Linked DNA regions of Arabidopsis thaliana. The protein of the gene in region 3 interacts with the protein of the main gene of each other region in a pairwise test. Each region holds a gene or a part of one and is shown on either strand. Other genes may lie near its edges. The genes, in order: LPAT2, AT1G01630 and AT2G23790.

Region 1 (6,650 bases), on a different chromosome or scaffold from region 3:
AGTGTTTCAGCAAGAACGGAGACAATTAGGGTTTATCAATTGATACAAGTCGGGACTTTAATCGGAGTTTGAAAACAGAGAGAAAAGCGGCGCGAGCAACCGGACTTGTGAAGGTTTTTTTTTTCTTTTGAATCGGCGTGAAAGGGTTTTAGTTTTAGGGTTGAGAAAACTAAAATAAAAATTGTGTTTATTATATTATACACTCATTAAAAAAAAAAAAATGTGTTCTATCAAAAATGGAAGAAAATAAAACCTGTTCTTTTACGATATTCTCCCTGTAATCACCGTCATACTGTAGTTGAATTTGTCTAATCTCAGTTAATTCCATGAACGGGTTTCTGTTTTTTCTTCTCAAAATGAATTTTTTTTTGTCTAATCACAATTAAGTCCCAGTAGGATTAGTCTAGTCAGATAATTTATGTACATGAATAAATTCTGTTTTTTCTTCTAAAACGTCTTGTAATAACATGTTTTGTGCCTAATAAATTCTACACTAGCAATGAGAACCAAGGAACAAAACAGTTTAATAATAAAAGGAAAATGTCTAATATCAATCCCAAATTCCAATCTAAAAATAGAAAGTTATACAAGGCCTATGCACTTGAGAAAAAAAATCCCAAGGGACTATAGGGATTAAATCGTTGATTTGATCATGACCCTATACATCAATCGACTAAGAGACATAGGCTGCGTAGTAGTAGTAGTAGTAATATAGTAGCTGAACAAAACGGAGTTGATAATATTAAGGGATTTTTCATTTGGATGTCTTTTTTTTTTGGTTTTCTGTTTCTTATAACAAAACTGACACGCGCTTCTTCTTGTTGTGTTTGATGTTTGGATCTGTGAGAACCAGTTTTTACTTCTCCTTCTCCGTTTCTGTTTGGGAGGATGATTCTGGGTGGTGATTGTCTTTTGGCTTGGCTGGGACGACTTTGGCTGGGGTCGAACGCTCTGACTGAGACGAGCGTATCAGGATCTGCATACAGAGAGTGATGATACCTAGACCAAGCGCCGATATCGTGATACCTTTCCATGAAGAAAAGAGTTGTGCCCAGTGTAGGAACTTTATTGCTCCAAGAGTTAGTACGCATGCCCATGATAGAACCACCTGAGAAAAAGATCAAGAGATTTGTGAGTTTATAGATGGAACCAAGAGAATGTTATGAATTTTATAGACTCACCGCAAGGGACTTTATGGGACGGCCAATGTTCTGTTCTTGTTGACCGGGGAAAGTGTCTGCAGCTATGTGTTTGTCTAACAGAGCATCCTGTATCACAGAGACGAGATGAGAGAATACCAAAATGAAAGCTTTTCCAAGCTTTTCTCTATCAAATCTTGACCAAATATATTATTGCCAATAACTGAAACGTGGAAATACCAGTACATCCATAATTTTTACCTTAGCCACAAACTGATCTCTGCACCACTGTGCAATTGCGTCATCTGATTCAGGTAAGTCTTTCATCGAGTGACACTTGATGTGAACATGCACCTTGAAACCAGCAGCAATGGTTTGCGTTAATGGCGCAGGAGGTTTTAAAAGAAAAAGGCTTGGGATGGGATGAGTCCTACGGTTTCTTACACATTATAAAAGTAAAGGTGATATAAAGAGTTATGTTCGTTTCAGTAAATTGGATGGTGATGTGATCCAAGCCAGTGCATACTTTGAAATTTGTTGTGAGAAGAGTGCAAGATTCAACTGCTATACGACCTATTCATATTTTTGCTTGCTTACCACTGAAGGTTGTCCTTTGAATAGTCTTAGCATCGTGGGTGGTGGAGAGGTTTTTGGAATAGTCACTGTCATATCATAAATTGCTGGGACAAATGAACGCATATTACTAACAGCTGACACGAAACCCTGAAACAAAAATACAAGCAAGTCTAGTAATTAGGGCAGAAATCACAATAACAACCACCAAGTCGATCTGATGAAAATGAAACGTATAAAGGCTACCCATGCATTGAGATTTTGGATCATCATAGCAATCATTTTGCTTTTTAAAGGACACAGAGAAGATATCAAGTTGCCCCAGGAATGAACAAAAGAAAAATATTACAACTTACTTTGGTGCGAGGAATCAACACATTTCGAGGGATAGGCAATTCAGAGGAGGCTGCATACTCTTGTGCGGCTTTAAGTTTGGCTTCTGTAAAGCGAGTTCCCTCCACAAAAAGGGCTAACCAGAAAGGTCGAGGGAAGTCGCTCAAGCGCTGAAGACCTGACTGTAAATTTAGACAAACACACATAACTCATGGTCTGGAAATGAAGATTCTGCATTTTTAGGCTAATCCCCTCATGAACGAGGTAGCTGCACGTGCTAATAAGCATTTTACACAGGAGCAAAAACTAAATGAGTTGCACAAGGATACTATAAACCCATACCTTTAGAGTGCTTTCATCCTTGGCCCAATTTCTTTCCAGAAAGAGATACTCCGAGAACCACATTGACCAGCCTATGACCTGTATGTGTGTGAAAATTCTGTTTATGAGTACTATGAATATGTAACAGATAAAAAAGGCGGAGAAGTGTATTAACCTAAAACAATGATTTTTTCTCAAACGCAAAGCCAGGTATCAAATTTCTAACTTATAGAAGAGATTCAGAAATAGAATTAAAGATTACTACTATTTTCTCTCAAATCTAGCAAGCACACAGCAGTAAGCTAAAATATTCACATACTGGAAGGAATTTGGAAGACTTCTTCATTACAGCTAATGCGCTTCCCAGGCAACCTGACCGCTGCAAGGAAAGAAAATATGAAACAATAGATTAAAAGATGTAAACAGCATAACAGGGAGCGTGTTAAGAGAAAATATGATGATGCTATACTCTCTCATATCTCATCAGATGATCACTAGGGACTGTCACCTTCTACCTAAGATAATCTTTCTTAAGTAGATACTTGGAAGCAATACATGGTCCCATTGCAAGTATACATGCTTTCTCATCAAGAAGTCTATTATGTTGATCTCCATTTATGCATTCAAACAAAAACGTAGGAAGATAGATGAAACTGTGAGGTGAAATTATGTACCTGAGCCAGAATCCATCCCACAAGCCAATCAATATCACTTCGGTGATTACAAACGACAAGAGCATGTTCTTTGCCTAGAAAAAAATAGTAGGACAGTCAATGAAGTTACAGATTCGTTCTTACATAGGAATTTTATATCTTGAAGACATCAGAAACTGATTTGATTGCCAATAAGCATATGAACTTACCCATTCGATTGAAGGTCTCATTATCAGCAAACACTTGGATCTAAGGGAAAAGAAACAAGAAATTTGAGAGGAACTCATAGAGTTAGATAAGATAAAACAAAATCCAAGCTTAACAACCATTTAGTAAAAAGGAGAAAGCTTGTGGATACCTTAACTCCAGCCCACCAGTCAACTATCCATACAAGCTCCAACCACAAGGTTTCTGCAACCACCCGGTTAATTTTTCTGTATGTGTTCTTAGACAGTGGTCGAATGAGTACATAGCAAACTGCCTGAAACAACAATATGTAGTAGTAAACATCAAAACTGAAGCAAACGAAGTTGAGAGAAAAAAAGATTCCTTCCTCGATTCAATCAACATAGAAATCAAGATAAATCTGAAGAAAGTGATACTTAATCGCAGAATCAAACAACACTCTATAGCTCAGTGCATGAGCTCCACGAGTCAATTTCGAGCTTATACTCTCATATGCACACTCAGAATTAAGACACAATCACCGACAAAAACGAAAGAATCAAAGTTTCTGGAGAAGGAAACCCTAAAAGCAGTGAATCAAAACAAAAGAAGAAAGGATCTACAATGTAGAACAACAACGGAATCTAAAAAGAGTAACACCAGAAACGAATCAGAAACCAAACCTGAAAGAGATTGACAGCGAGACCAGATATGAAGAAGAGAAGGCCCAAAGGCACGATGACAGCTGCAGCAATCACCATCCTCAAAAAATCCCACCAACAAAAGCTAATGTGAGGAGAGAGTACAAAGAAGAAAACCCAACAAATCGTTCCCCGAGATTTCCAGAAACCAATGAAGAAATATTTTACCCCAGATTTCAAGACAAGTTGCAGAAGTTTTTTAAAAGGGGAAAATAAATAACCCAACCAGAAAAAAAGAGAAAAAAAATCGCAAAATTAACTTTGCGATTTAATGGGAAAATTTTGAGAAGAGTGTTTGTAACTCTGGATTTTTATTGATTGATTGATTATATACGGAGATGATCACGAGGACACATTCGAACACGGCAGAAGCGTTTTTTCTTGTTATTTTGATTTTAGCCCCTCTATTTGTTTTCATACTTCAAAACATCTCCTATCTCTTCGACTTGGTTGGATTGGCCAACTTTGAAGTTTTGAACTATGCAATCAATGGGCAAGGAAAAAAAAAACGTCTGTCGGAAATTGATCGGTATACACTACCAAGATGTGATTACTCCTAATTTTTTAAGTTAGGATTAATTCCCTTTGCATGTGGTAAAAAGTGCTAGCTGGACTTTCCAATTAATTATAATGTTTGTATGGTAAGCTTATATATGGAAATGTAACGTCCAAATATTTCAAATCAACAGATTTATTTCAGGTGAATCCAAAAAAATTGTTACATAATTCTTAACACTCATAGACGACCACCAAAATGGTTTTACTTTTACCAATAAAATGGCCTAGTGGCGGATCTTAGAACCTTAAAGAGAATGTAATTGGAGAAAGGATTAATGTGTTACCCATACCGCTTAATATATATCCTTATTAGTCTGATATGCTACTTGTCACTAACATCGAATCCTTTGTTCATGTCTGGCCCTAGTCTGAAGGTGACTAATATACTAATATTACCGTGGATGTTTAAGTGCTCCACTTTGTTCCATATGTTTTCAATTTTTCCGTTCAATTCTTCCTCTTTTTGCTATTCTCTAGCCGATGCCTTTTGTTTTTTTGCTTGTAAATTAAAGCATGACGTCTTTGTGATTCTATTCACATGGTTTGGTATGGTTCTGATTGTTTATGTGCGGTGTAAAGTATGAGAGTCTTTCATGGTTTGTATAAATATAAACTAAATGATATTTAAGTGCACGTTTGATTCTTTAGTATTCTAATATCGAAATTTCATTTCAGTAAAGTTCAAACATTTTTTAATTTTTTTGTTATTAAATATTTGAAGTTACAAAAGTATTGTTGAAGTGGTTGATCTATCTAACCAAATTTTCTTTAAATATAATGAAGAATCAAAACAAACTAAAGAACAAGTTCATCATCTAGTTATTTTCAGCTGTACTATGCTCACCGCTTTATTCAGATTCTCCAATAAATTTTGCAGCAAAGTGGAAAAGATAACAAAAAAAACAAATAAGGGTTGTTGAGTTTTTAGTTACAATTTTCCCTACGTAAGATCATTTGCCTTAATTCACGTAACATAGCCACATGCTATCATTTCTATGTGATTGTACATATTCATAACAAATAGTTGACTGCCAGACAAAATATGTTAGAAACGTATGCATACACCTTTTTTCTTTTTACAACAATATATATGCATACACTTGACGCATCCTTAAACATATTATGATTTTTCTTTCTTTTTGTCAATGTGGACTAAATTATCCAATTTGAAAAAGAACAATGGGAATCGAACCTGAAATACTGAGGCGCCAACATTTTTACTTATAATTTTAAAAATGATTTATGTAAAACATTGCTTGTAAGTTTTAACTATAGTCTCAAAATGACACCAGAAATTATAGTTAGTAATTGCTCTGTTTTTAATTACTTTTTTCTCGGTTAGAGACTAAATCACTTATTTTGCAGATATTTTTTTGCATTGTATAACCAAACAAAAAATTTAGTTTTGTTCTAGTCTCCTAAATTGTAGCAAAGAACCAGTGGAACAATGACAAACAAAAAAAAAACAGAGAAAGCCTTAGCTTCCTAACTAGTTTTCAGGTGATGTAGAAAGAACTATGAAATTAGTCCGCAAGTCTTGTTGTGAGCTTTTTCTTGGAAGGACGACTTTGTGGGATATTCAACAACGACAGCTTGACTTTATATCTTAGCTAGTGTTCTTCGTTTTGATCAACTGAGAGTGTGTGAGGTCTTCAAGTTTTGTCATTTTATTTTTCAAAGTTAAGTGTTTCTCGATTAGTTGAGGAATAAGATATCAAGAGCTAGAGGGGGGAGATGCTGTTAGAAGATCTCATCGAACGTTGCAATGAATATAACTGAGGAGATTGCAACTGCTTTAGCTTATTTTCACACTGTTTTCCAATTCTCAAACCCTATTTCGATCTCTAAAGTGATGTCTGAATCCACTTGAGTTCCTTAAGCTACTACGATCATCTTTGGCTTGTCTTCATCTTTCTTCTCAGTGATAGTATACGCACACGCTTCCAGCGGCAATCTTTAACTAACAAAACCCATGGAAACATTGATATAACGTAAACAGGAGTCGTTTCTGCTTACATGATTCATAAACATAGCATCATGCTGATTGAGAATTCTGCAAATTATCCATCAAACTGTAGATCGCAGATGAGACACACATGACGCAGAGACAATGCCAATGCCATTTTGGCTTCAGTCTGAAACATTACCATTCAGATTTTTGCCAGAGACAAGCAAAAGTTCATATATTTACTTCACAGATTTTTACT
Region 2 (4,857 bases), on a different chromosome or scaffold from region 3:
TGATGAATGCAAGACCTCCCCCGAGGAATCAATCACTCTCCCTGATTTGTCCCACGACGAACTCAAATCTCTTCTCGAGTTCCTCTACAGCGGTAACCTAAAAGCTCCATACAATCAATACCGATCCCTATATCTGGCTGCAGATAAGTACGACATTTCATATCTGCAAGACGTATGCCGTAACCATTTCATCGCATCTCTGAGCTCTAGGAACGTCCTAGACATCTTAGAGCTCGCCAGTATACCTTGTGACACAATCTTGAAAGACGCGGCTATCAATCATATTGTCAAACATATGGAAGAAGTGGTTGTTCCCATGAAATATGAGACGTTTGTGCAGAGGAACCCGGATCTAAGCGTGGAGATCACTCGGGCTTATCTGAGAGAGACCAAAGCCAAAGCCAAAGATCATGGAGCTCCTCTAAATGGTAATACTCGCCCACGCATCTGGTGAACAAACAGCTTGTGTAAGTGGATCGATCTCACTTGCCAAAGGGGATTTGATGGTTTCTTCTTTTCTTTCTAATAAGAGTGAAAATATTAGTAAAGACTTGTTTTATGGATTATCAATTCAAGGTGTTTTCTTTTTTTCAATGTACCCTTCATAAATTAAACCTCTTTTATATTATTTTGTTGTTTTGGTTTAGAATTCTAGTTGGAACAAGTTGTGTGTTAGATTTGCAGGGAAGAGCAACAGCAAGCTAGACTGAAATTGTATAGTTGCCGAAGTATTATGGCTAGATCACAGTAGATAGATAATTATGAAAAATTACATGAAATTTAAAGGTGTTTTCAATATTATATCTTTTAGCTTCTTTGACAGTAAATATATAATTGTTGGCATTTGGCGACACTCAATATGTTTTTCATTTTATTCAAATAAAAAATAATACTAGTAAGTAATAATTTGGAAATAGAGGTGGGCCGTAGTAAGACCTATAATCAGGTCTCCTGAATAGGAACAAGTGGCAATTTGCCTCCGTAGATGTCGGGAAGTTGGCTTTCGTCTATGTCTTCAAGCAGCGTTGGAGTGAGTTTCTTGTTCTCCACGAAAACAATCTGCCCCCCCAAAAAAACACGAAATTAACAATCAAATTTTCCAACACAGTCTTAAAACATACTAATAAAGTGATTGTGAAGCAGAGCAAATCAATGTACCTTTTTCTTGGTGTTGGCGTCGATAAAAGGATAAATGACCTTCCATGCGGTCATGAAAATGTAGGGGGCATGAACTATATAGAGTTTCCCTAATCTCTCTGGGTAACAATCCTGTAAAACAAGGTTTTCTTAATGTGGGGGTTACTCACTGTCAGGACTCACGACCATGAACAATATTACTAACGCAATATTTTGCTAAAAATAGGATTACAATCATGAAAGTTCCTTTTCAAAAAAAATCCATAAACAAAGAGAAACAAAAAAAAAGAAGCCAAGTGTGGCCAAAAGGACCAAAATAACAAAAAGACCTTTAACCTGATCACCTACTCCAAAATAACAAAAACACCTTTTAAAACATAGTAAATAGTACTGACGAACAAAAGGTTTCTTAGTTGGAAGTCAAACTGAATTCTCTATATTTGGAGTTAAGTGGATTATTAGCAATATTTTCCTTTATTAGTGATAATTGCTAAAAACCTAAATGTTTGTTTCAAAAGATATGATAGGCGAATTAAAGGAAGTAACCTGCAAAGTGGAAAGAGCAGCAAGGTAGCCACGGATGTCACAATTAGAATATCCCCAGCCTTGCAGATCTCCAATTGCTACGAATTTCTCTTGACCTCTCGGCATTCTAACATGACAACATTCAAACAAACAAAAAAAGAGCATTAGCATAAATGGTTTCTTATATACCCACACTAACTTAATGTATGTAGTAATATTATTATTATTCACCTAGCACAAATCTTCTCGAGCGTGTAGACAACAAAACGCTTGAACTCGTCAGGGTTGCCTTTGGAAGGGTTATGTCTGTTCCCAATGGCAACAGCGATAGGTCGACCCATCTTGTCATGACCTTGCATACACATCTTGTTATGCGATAGATCATTTGCAATCTCTGCTTCTGGTATGTGCCCCTTTGGGAGCATGCTTCTCTTCCAAGTCAGGTAATTTAGAAACATCGTTGAAGCCTTTTCAATGTCCAGGTCACGCGCTCTCAGAAACCTCCTTATCATCAGATCATCCACCTCCTGCAAATCCAAATCATTAGGGCTTTTATCAAATCAATACTTTTCTGGTTGAATTCTTTTTTTACTTAAAGAAATCGATAGGGACCTTAGTTTCAGGATCTTGTCGGTCGCAGAGAGCTCTCATGATCCCGACTTTGCTCCTCTCGATCTCATCTTCGATCAACGGAACGGTCTTTTGCTCAGCTGCTGCTGCTGGTTCTTGCTTGGTCTCTTTGTTTTCCATTACGTTTCTCCTGTGAGCGACGACCAGATCTTGAAATTGGTAGAGAGAAGAAAGAAGTAGGATCGATCATAAATGAAGACAGCTGCTGAGAGAAAGATTTTAAGTGTCATTCAATGCAAAGTTGGGCTGCTTTCCCCTTCAATGGCGACGCTCACCAACTACTCTCTTCCTTACAAAAATTCTACTCATTTATTGACTAATCCCAGGTCCCCGACTCTACAGGAAGAAGACGATTATATCGTATTGGGCCTTATTAGAGCCTATTGGGCTCGAGTTGATTTGTCGTAAAGACTTGGTCTGTGGTTTAATCAATCTCTCATGCCTCAAAGTGTTGACTGATTCAGAGGCCGTTTTAGTGTTTTGAGCCCACGTCAGAAGCTTGTCTGTCGTCTGTGTGTATAAAACAAAATTCAATTCACGATTTTTTAAAATATTGATCGTATCTTTTTCCACATGTATGTAAGCAATGAAGGATCTGCTTCGTTGCAAAATATTAGTTTTTCTTTTGATAGGCATGTACCAACTAAGTACCAGCTACGTACACAGACAAAGTCAGTAACAATTAAAATTCATCAACCTAGTCATTGCTTGTTCATCAATCAACCTAATCATTTGTTTGCTTGTTAAATAACAATGCCAACGTTATTATTTCTATTTCTATACTATCATACATTCATACGGTCCACGCCTCTAACAAAAAAAGATATTGATAAAATTTAAAAGATAGATAATTCGATGAAATGAATTATAATGAAATGTGATTTGTACAACTGAGAAAGGATGTCATATACGGACTTTGGTCGGGACCGCCCCAGTAAACACCACCAACACATATTTGCCTCTTCAACCACGTGTCGTGATTCTGTTGGTTGGGCAGCTAGACGACTGTGATGTGTGTGTGTGGGTTGCGTTTCGAAAAATGGCAAACCCCACCACTAGTTCAATAAAAGGTGTTTCTTAATCATATAGTTTAGCTTCGGATTATTTGTTTCCCTTTTCAGTTTTTTAAAAATCGATATCTACAATAGAGTTAATCTGTTTATAAATTCAATTATTGTTCGGGTAAGACAACATCAACAAAACTAATAGGGTTTGAATCCTAAACACTAAACTCCATTTAACTAGTAAAGTATGGCTCATATAGCGTTAAAAATATGTGAATTGATAACAACAACAGAGTTTTGAATTTTATTTTTGTTAGGTTTGAATAGATTGATAGAAAAAGGAAAGTGGGAATAGGGAAACGAACATGTGATCACAGAAAAGCAAAATCCATTTCTGAGCTGGAAACCCCCGCAAAATTGAACCTTATCTCCAATTTTCATTTTCTTTTTTTCTAAAATATATATCGTTTAATTGAAAAACCTCAAATTCACAATCATTGTGATTATTTTGTCACTAGTAGTACACATAGTAATTTAATTAAACATTTTAAAAATACTCTAGGCCCGGCACAATGTTCGAGACTATGTTACTTTACATAAAGCAATCGCTTTCCACACACTTCTTTTCCTTTTCTTCTCCAACGGTCGGAAGTAAATTATTAATTCGTCGACTAGTCAAAAAGTTAGTCCTTTGTGAGTTTTCTGGCACTGTAATATTTTTTTTTACATTTCTAACTGCTGACTGAGTAGTACTCCTGTAGCAAGGCATTTGAGAATAAATTAGGTCAAACATGCTATCTTTATAAGGAGTTTCAGAATATAATACTAATAGTTAGCCAACGCAACAGAATTAGTATAAGCGTGGGTTGTGTTACATGATTAAACATCATCAAGTAGTAGGCTATTACAATTATTAACGTAAATAAATATGCTTTTACGAAGATCATCGTTATCCATGATTCCCTGTATTTCTCATTATTTAAATATATCATAATAGTTTCGAGACGTTAGTTTTTTTTGCTTTTTCTATTCTCTCTCTCTCTCGCCTCTATAAAACCATTCTTTCTCTATCTCAGCCACTCTCATTACCCATTGTAGAAAAGAAGAAAAAAAGCAAAGAACACTTGAACGTTTTCTAGATAGAGATGGAAGGGAAAGAAGAGGATGTTCGAGTGGGAGCTAACAAGTTCCCGGAGAGGCAACCGATAGGTACATCGGCTCAGACGGACAAAGACTACAAGGAGCCACCACCAGCTCCATTTTTCGAGCCAGGCGAGCTGAGTTCGTGGTCCTTCTACAGAGCCGGAATCGCCGAGTTCATAGCCACCTTCCTGTTTCTATACATAACAGTATTGACAGTGATGGGAGTGAAGAGAGCACCAAACATGTGTGCCTCTGTTGGAATCCAAGGCATTGCTTGGGCTTTCGGTGGCATGATCTTTGCCCTTGTCTACTGTACTGCTGGAATCTCTGGTAACCCCATTTTTTTTATCTTCTTAATACAAGTAGAATTGGTCTTTTGTTGCATGCTTCAAACCCTTGTAGCTCTGCTTTTAGTTTT
Region 3 (4,722 bases):
CCTTTTTGTGCAAAACAAAATAATAATAGTATTTGGATGTATATCAGCTATCAGCATTGGTTGGGTCTAATTATTTAAGTGGCCACTTGCTGGCATCACCATTAGCACCAAGTCAGTGTTGGTATTGTAATCATATTAAGCACTACTTCTTAGGCATAATTGACCACTTCTATCTAATTAAGTAAATTATTGTTTTTTCAAACCAATTTGCTAATGTAATAAATTTGGATTTCTGTTTTTTGCCAAACTATTTGTCAAATTTGTGGACATTGCTTGTCACCTTCCAATAAGTTTGTAACTAGTGGCTGCAATACTATGCATGTGTCAGTATATAACTTGTTTAGTACTCTAATAATTTTACCAAATTGTTAATTATAGCTCCCCAACAATCGGGAGACTTCTTAAAGCTTGACGAACATATGCCGAAAGTATAAACGACAAATAGCGATCATTCAAATAACGTTTTCTTTGAAATAAACACGTTACCGACCATATGGTGATAAAATCGTATGTAACAAATAATGTTATACATATTTTTATGTTTTGTACAAATAACATGAGATTTCGAGTATATTATAAAATTATAACAACATGTTTGAAATCAATTAAAAAGTATATTTTTTGCAAAAAAAAAAAAACTCTAAAAAGAAATATCATCATAATTAACCCAAGAAACGACAAAAAAGAAAAATTAACACAAAAAAAATATGTAATTTTCTTCTGTTAACACAAACGTTTATCTGATTTATATAAACCTTTCAAAGGATTAGTCTTTCCATAGCAATGTATCCCAAAAAGATATTCGTTTGGTTCACTCCGAAAACTAAAACCTTAATTCAAAAATTTGATAGTTTTCCATTATTTTTTTGTCTAGTTGTGAGTTTGTTCCATCCTAACACGTGAAGTGAACACTTATCTATTTGTTCCACTTGCTTGTTCTTCTATACTATATATTTTTCTCAACCATCCAAAAACATGCTTCTTTCTTTTTCACTTCATTTCACAAATGTTTTGTGTATGTTCAAGATTCTTGGTATTGTTGTTCTATACTATATGTTTCTCGTACATTGGAAACCATAACTCCATACTCGAATAGAAAAAAAAAAAATTAATCTAATTTTAAGAGAAAGGTTTCTTTTAAAAAAAAATTTTTCCTTTTAAAAAAGTCTTTTTCCTTTTAAAAAAAAATTTTGGTAAATCTTTTTATGAGTTATGTGTATGAGAATTTTTGTCTCTACATTTTGGAGTTCGATTTTCGTTTTAGTTTAGGATGGTGAAGTATTTACAAAAAAGAAATCTATTTGCGAACCTAAATATCGAATAATCGTATCTTTAGATGTAGATGGATTAGTACATATCGTGATATCGATAGATCCACACATAGTTTGTAACAAAAATTATCAAAATGACTACTAGTAAAAGTGTATTTATCAAAATAATCTAGTAGTTAGTTAAAGTTGATTTAAAAAGAAAAGGAAAAGTATGTGGATCCACGTCAGGTTGCGTGCACGTAAAAGTCTTTTCATTCCCTAGTTCTTCTGCTCTGTTGCCGTTGTGAACAAATTTAGGTTTCTAAAAACAAAAACTAACACTTGTTTTGGGAAATCGCTATAATCGAACGGCTACGATACCACCGCAAAGCTATCACCTCTACCAACCCGAACACGTGTACGTCTCTCATCACTTCCACATTTCTCGCGAGAAAAACCAAAAGAGTTTCGTAAAAAAAACGAATATTCCTGCTGTAATATTAATTTCTCGTGTACGTTCCGATATACGCTGACGTGTACGAGTCTCTTTATTTTTAGGTTTAAAAAAACAATGTTATTATTTGTAAACAGTATATAAACCCTTTTAGTCTCTATTGTTTCATTATTCAGTCGTAAAATAAAACCGAATTTGATTTTTATTTTTCTCTCTCAAAGTTTTTCTTGGGAGAGCAACAATGGCGATGAGGAAGCTTTTATCGAAGAAACTCTTCAATATCACGAATGTTGCTTCACAGAGTCTTATGAATTGTCGCATTTCGTCTTCTTCGTTAGCCGTACGAACCAGAGTTCCGAATGATTCAACAGATACAACCAAAATCGCACCGGAGCCTGGAGATTTGGCGATGTCGCGAAGGTTCATGCATAACAGTGCTATGATTAGGCCGGCGGAGATTATGCAGATGCCGGTGGGAGAGAGTTTGATTGAGAAACTCCGTGAGATTGATGGAAGCAAGGATCGGATTCGATTAGACGGACTTTCTCCGCCGGAGAGGGAGACGAGTTTGACGGTGGCGGATACGAAGAAGCTGCTTAGAGCGGCGCAGATCGAGATTGTGAAATCGAAGCTAAGAGAAACGGGAAGAAGCTGGATGCCGTATAAGGAGTTTGTTAGCGTTTGTGGTGAAGCTTCTTCAGATCCAGATCTCGGATCTAAAATCGCGAAGATGCTTGATGATTCAGCAAACGTCATCGTTTTGGGAGATTCCGTTTGTATTAGACCTGATCAGGTACTTTCTTCGTTCTTCTTCTCTAGCCTTTTAGCATTTTGAAATCGTGCTTTGTCTCTGAGATCTCTCTGAGTATTGCAGCTGATTGATTGGGAGAGATAAGAGAGAGATTTAAAAACTCTCTGAAAAAAACGGATTAGGTTCTCAAAAGTTTTTGTTCGATTTTGATTTTGGAAGCTATACCGAAAACTGATACCATTTTTATTCGGTTGGATCTCTTTTCTTTTGGTTCCAATTCAACAGGAGAATCAAAAACCTCTGTGTTTTTACCAGAGTTCCATAGGAGGTTCCCAAGTTTGAGAGAGATGGTGATAAAGAGGAACAGTTTCTACAGAGACCACAACTCTTTTTTTTTCCCCTAAAAAAAAAACCATTGGTTGGATTAGGGTTATAAATTGAGTCAAGACCCTTTGGTGATTTGATACCAAAACCTAAACATAAAAAAACTTCAAAAGAGAGAGTTGAGAGAAGCTTACTAACTGGTTCTTGGGGGTTATTAGAAAGTTTATAGAGATGATGATGATAATGGGTTGGGTTTATGTGGAGGGATTAGTCAATAGTGGAAGATCTTAACCAGAAACAGGGATATGGGGATGGATTGATTGACTTTATAAACTAGTCATTGATTCATAAAGATGTATTTTTGTTGTGTGTTTTTGAGTGTGCTAATTGTGTGTCTCAAAAGAAGGTGGTGGAGGTCTTGTTTTACCCAGACATTTTCTGTTTTTGTCTTTTGCTATTGTGTTTGATCAGGTTACCAAATCCATTGAAGGACTGCTTCCTTTGCCAAAGATCCATAACCCAAATGACCCTCGGAGAATCGAGTTTAAAGAGCTTGAAGCTGAAAAGGCAGTGATCGATGTGAAAGCTCACACTTTGGTGCGGAAAGAGCTTTGGGCTGGTCTCGGTTACTTGATCCTACAGACTGCGGGGTTCATGAGGCTAACGTTTTGGGAACTCTCGTGGGACGTGATGGAGCCAATCTGTTTCTATGTCACGTCCGTGTACTTTATGGCTGGTTACGCGTTTTTCCTCAGGACATCGAAAGAGCCTTCTTTTGAAGGGTTTTACCAAAGCAGGTTCGAGGCGAAACAGAGAAAGTTGATGAATGAGTATGAGTTTGATCTGGAGAGGTATAATGAACTGAAGAAGCTGTTTTGCTCTAAGCCTTCGGATCATGTTTCCAAGATTCTTGGAGCTATCAAGAGTTAAAATTTTGATTAGGGGAAAAATTGCTTAGATTCAATGTTGTTGTCACAAATGGTGTCTGATTTTACCTAACTAGAGAATTCTACCCCAAAAAAAAGTAAGAAAAAAACGAATGGGTACTACTCTCAAATTTTTCAGTTTTCGAAAAAAAGACAAAGAGGTTGTTCTTATTATTGCGGCTTATGTAACATCAGCGAAGAGTTATGTTTTTGTTTTCGATTTTTATTTTTTATTTTTTTTATTTTTTTATTTTATGACCGATCTAAAATTTAACATTGTGTAAATAAATGTTTGAAGGTGTAATATAATACAGAATTAATTATCTGCAGATTTCATATTTGCAAAAACTAAATGAGATCTATTTTTTTCTAACAAGCGTTTGTGAAAGTACAACTACATTTATAATTTCGTTGTCATGTTATAAATCGAATCAAATCCGATAGCGTGATTCTCCTCCGTAATGGGACGGGTTTTTGTCACATAATAAATTAATAATATCCTTTCATAATTTATTAATTTTAATTAATAATAGTGGAGAATTGACCTTTTGCTATTAATTTTTATGAATCCAGAGAATTAATACTATTGAATAAAAAAACATTTTTTTAGCTCACCAAATATTGGAAAATATTATAATTACATATATCAAATATATTATTATATCATCAGTTATATAAAATAGATGTACATATTACATGACCTTGTGTATGAAATATACGTTGTCATGTATTTAACATCATAGATATATAATTTTGGTATACAGATAAATTAATTTTAATGAAAACTAACACTAATCGATCGGCGTTCACCAACAAAAATATATATCAAACGTTTAGGTTTGACTCTCTGCAATTTCTTTTCCTTTAAATTTTATAATCCTTCGGGAATCTAGTTTACGTTTAAAACGAGCTTTTGGCATCATTTTATCTACCAAAATGTGTTGTTGTAGCTAATCAGGCCCAATATCAGTTTAGAAATTAATATAATCGGCCCAATAATTAATCAAAACTTCCAAA

Evidence for each region.
Region 1: the proteins of AT2G23790 (region 3) and LPAT2 interact in a protein complementation assay, tested with the Arabidopsis thaliana proteins (one large-scale study listed by BioGRID).
Region 2: the proteins of AT2G23790 (region 3) and AT1G01630 interact in a protein complementation assay, tested with the Arabidopsis thaliana proteins (one large-scale study listed by BioGRID).

The regions. Positions count from the first base shown.
Region 1 is NC_003074.8:21,347,046-21,353,695, reverse strand, and holds LPAT2 (lysophosphatidyl acyltransferase 2), read right to left. Parts: upstream 4,314-6,650; 5' UTR 3,946-4,313; coding exon 3,868-3,945; intron 3,501-3,867; coding exon 3,378-3,500; intron 3,269-3,377; coding exon 3,229-3,268; intron 3,115-3,228; coding exon 3,041-3,114; intron 2,746-3,040; coding exon 2,686-2,745; intron 2,466-2,685; coding exon 2,388-2,465; intron 2,228-2,387; coding exon 2,069-2,227; intron 1,863-2,068; coding exon 1,737-1,862; intron 1,494-1,736; coding exon 1,401-1,493; intron 1,269-1,400; coding exon 1,182-1,268; intron 1,109-1,181; coding exon 857-1,108; 3' UTR 503-856; downstream 1-502. UniProt on the Arabidopsis thaliana protein: Converts lysophosphatidic acid (LPA) into phosphatidic acid by incorporating acyl moiety at the 2 position. Has preference for C-18-CoA substrates compared to C-16-CoA substrates. Required for female but not male gametophyte development.
Region 2 is NC_003070.9:226,761-231,617, reverse strand, and holds AT1G01630 (Sec14p-like phosphatidylinositol transfer family protein), read right to left. Parts: upstream 2,820-4,857; 5' UTR 2,413-2,819; coding exon 2,275-2,412; intron 2,190-2,274; coding exon 1,894-2,189; intron 1,790-1,893; coding exon 1,684-1,789; intron 1,270-1,683; coding exon 1,159-1,269; intron 1,060-1,158; coding exon 943-1,059; 3' UTR 639-942; downstream 1-638. Other genes in the region: AT1G01640 (BTB/POZ domain-containing protein), read left to right, coding at 1-454; PIP1C (plasma membrane intrinsic protein 1C), read left to right, coding at 4,442-4,769.
Region 3 is NC_003071.7:10,124,679-10,129,400, reverse strand, and holds AT2G23790 (calcium uniporter (DUF607)), read left to right. Parts: upstream 1-1,811; 5' UTR 1,812-1,945; coding exon 1,946-2,497; intron 2,498-3,250; coding exon 3,251-3,709; 3' UTR 3,710-4,034; downstream 4,035-4,722. UniProt on the Arabidopsis thaliana protein: Mitochondrial inner membrane calcium uniporter that mediates calcium uptake into mitochondria. Constitutes a pore-forming and calcium-conducting subunit.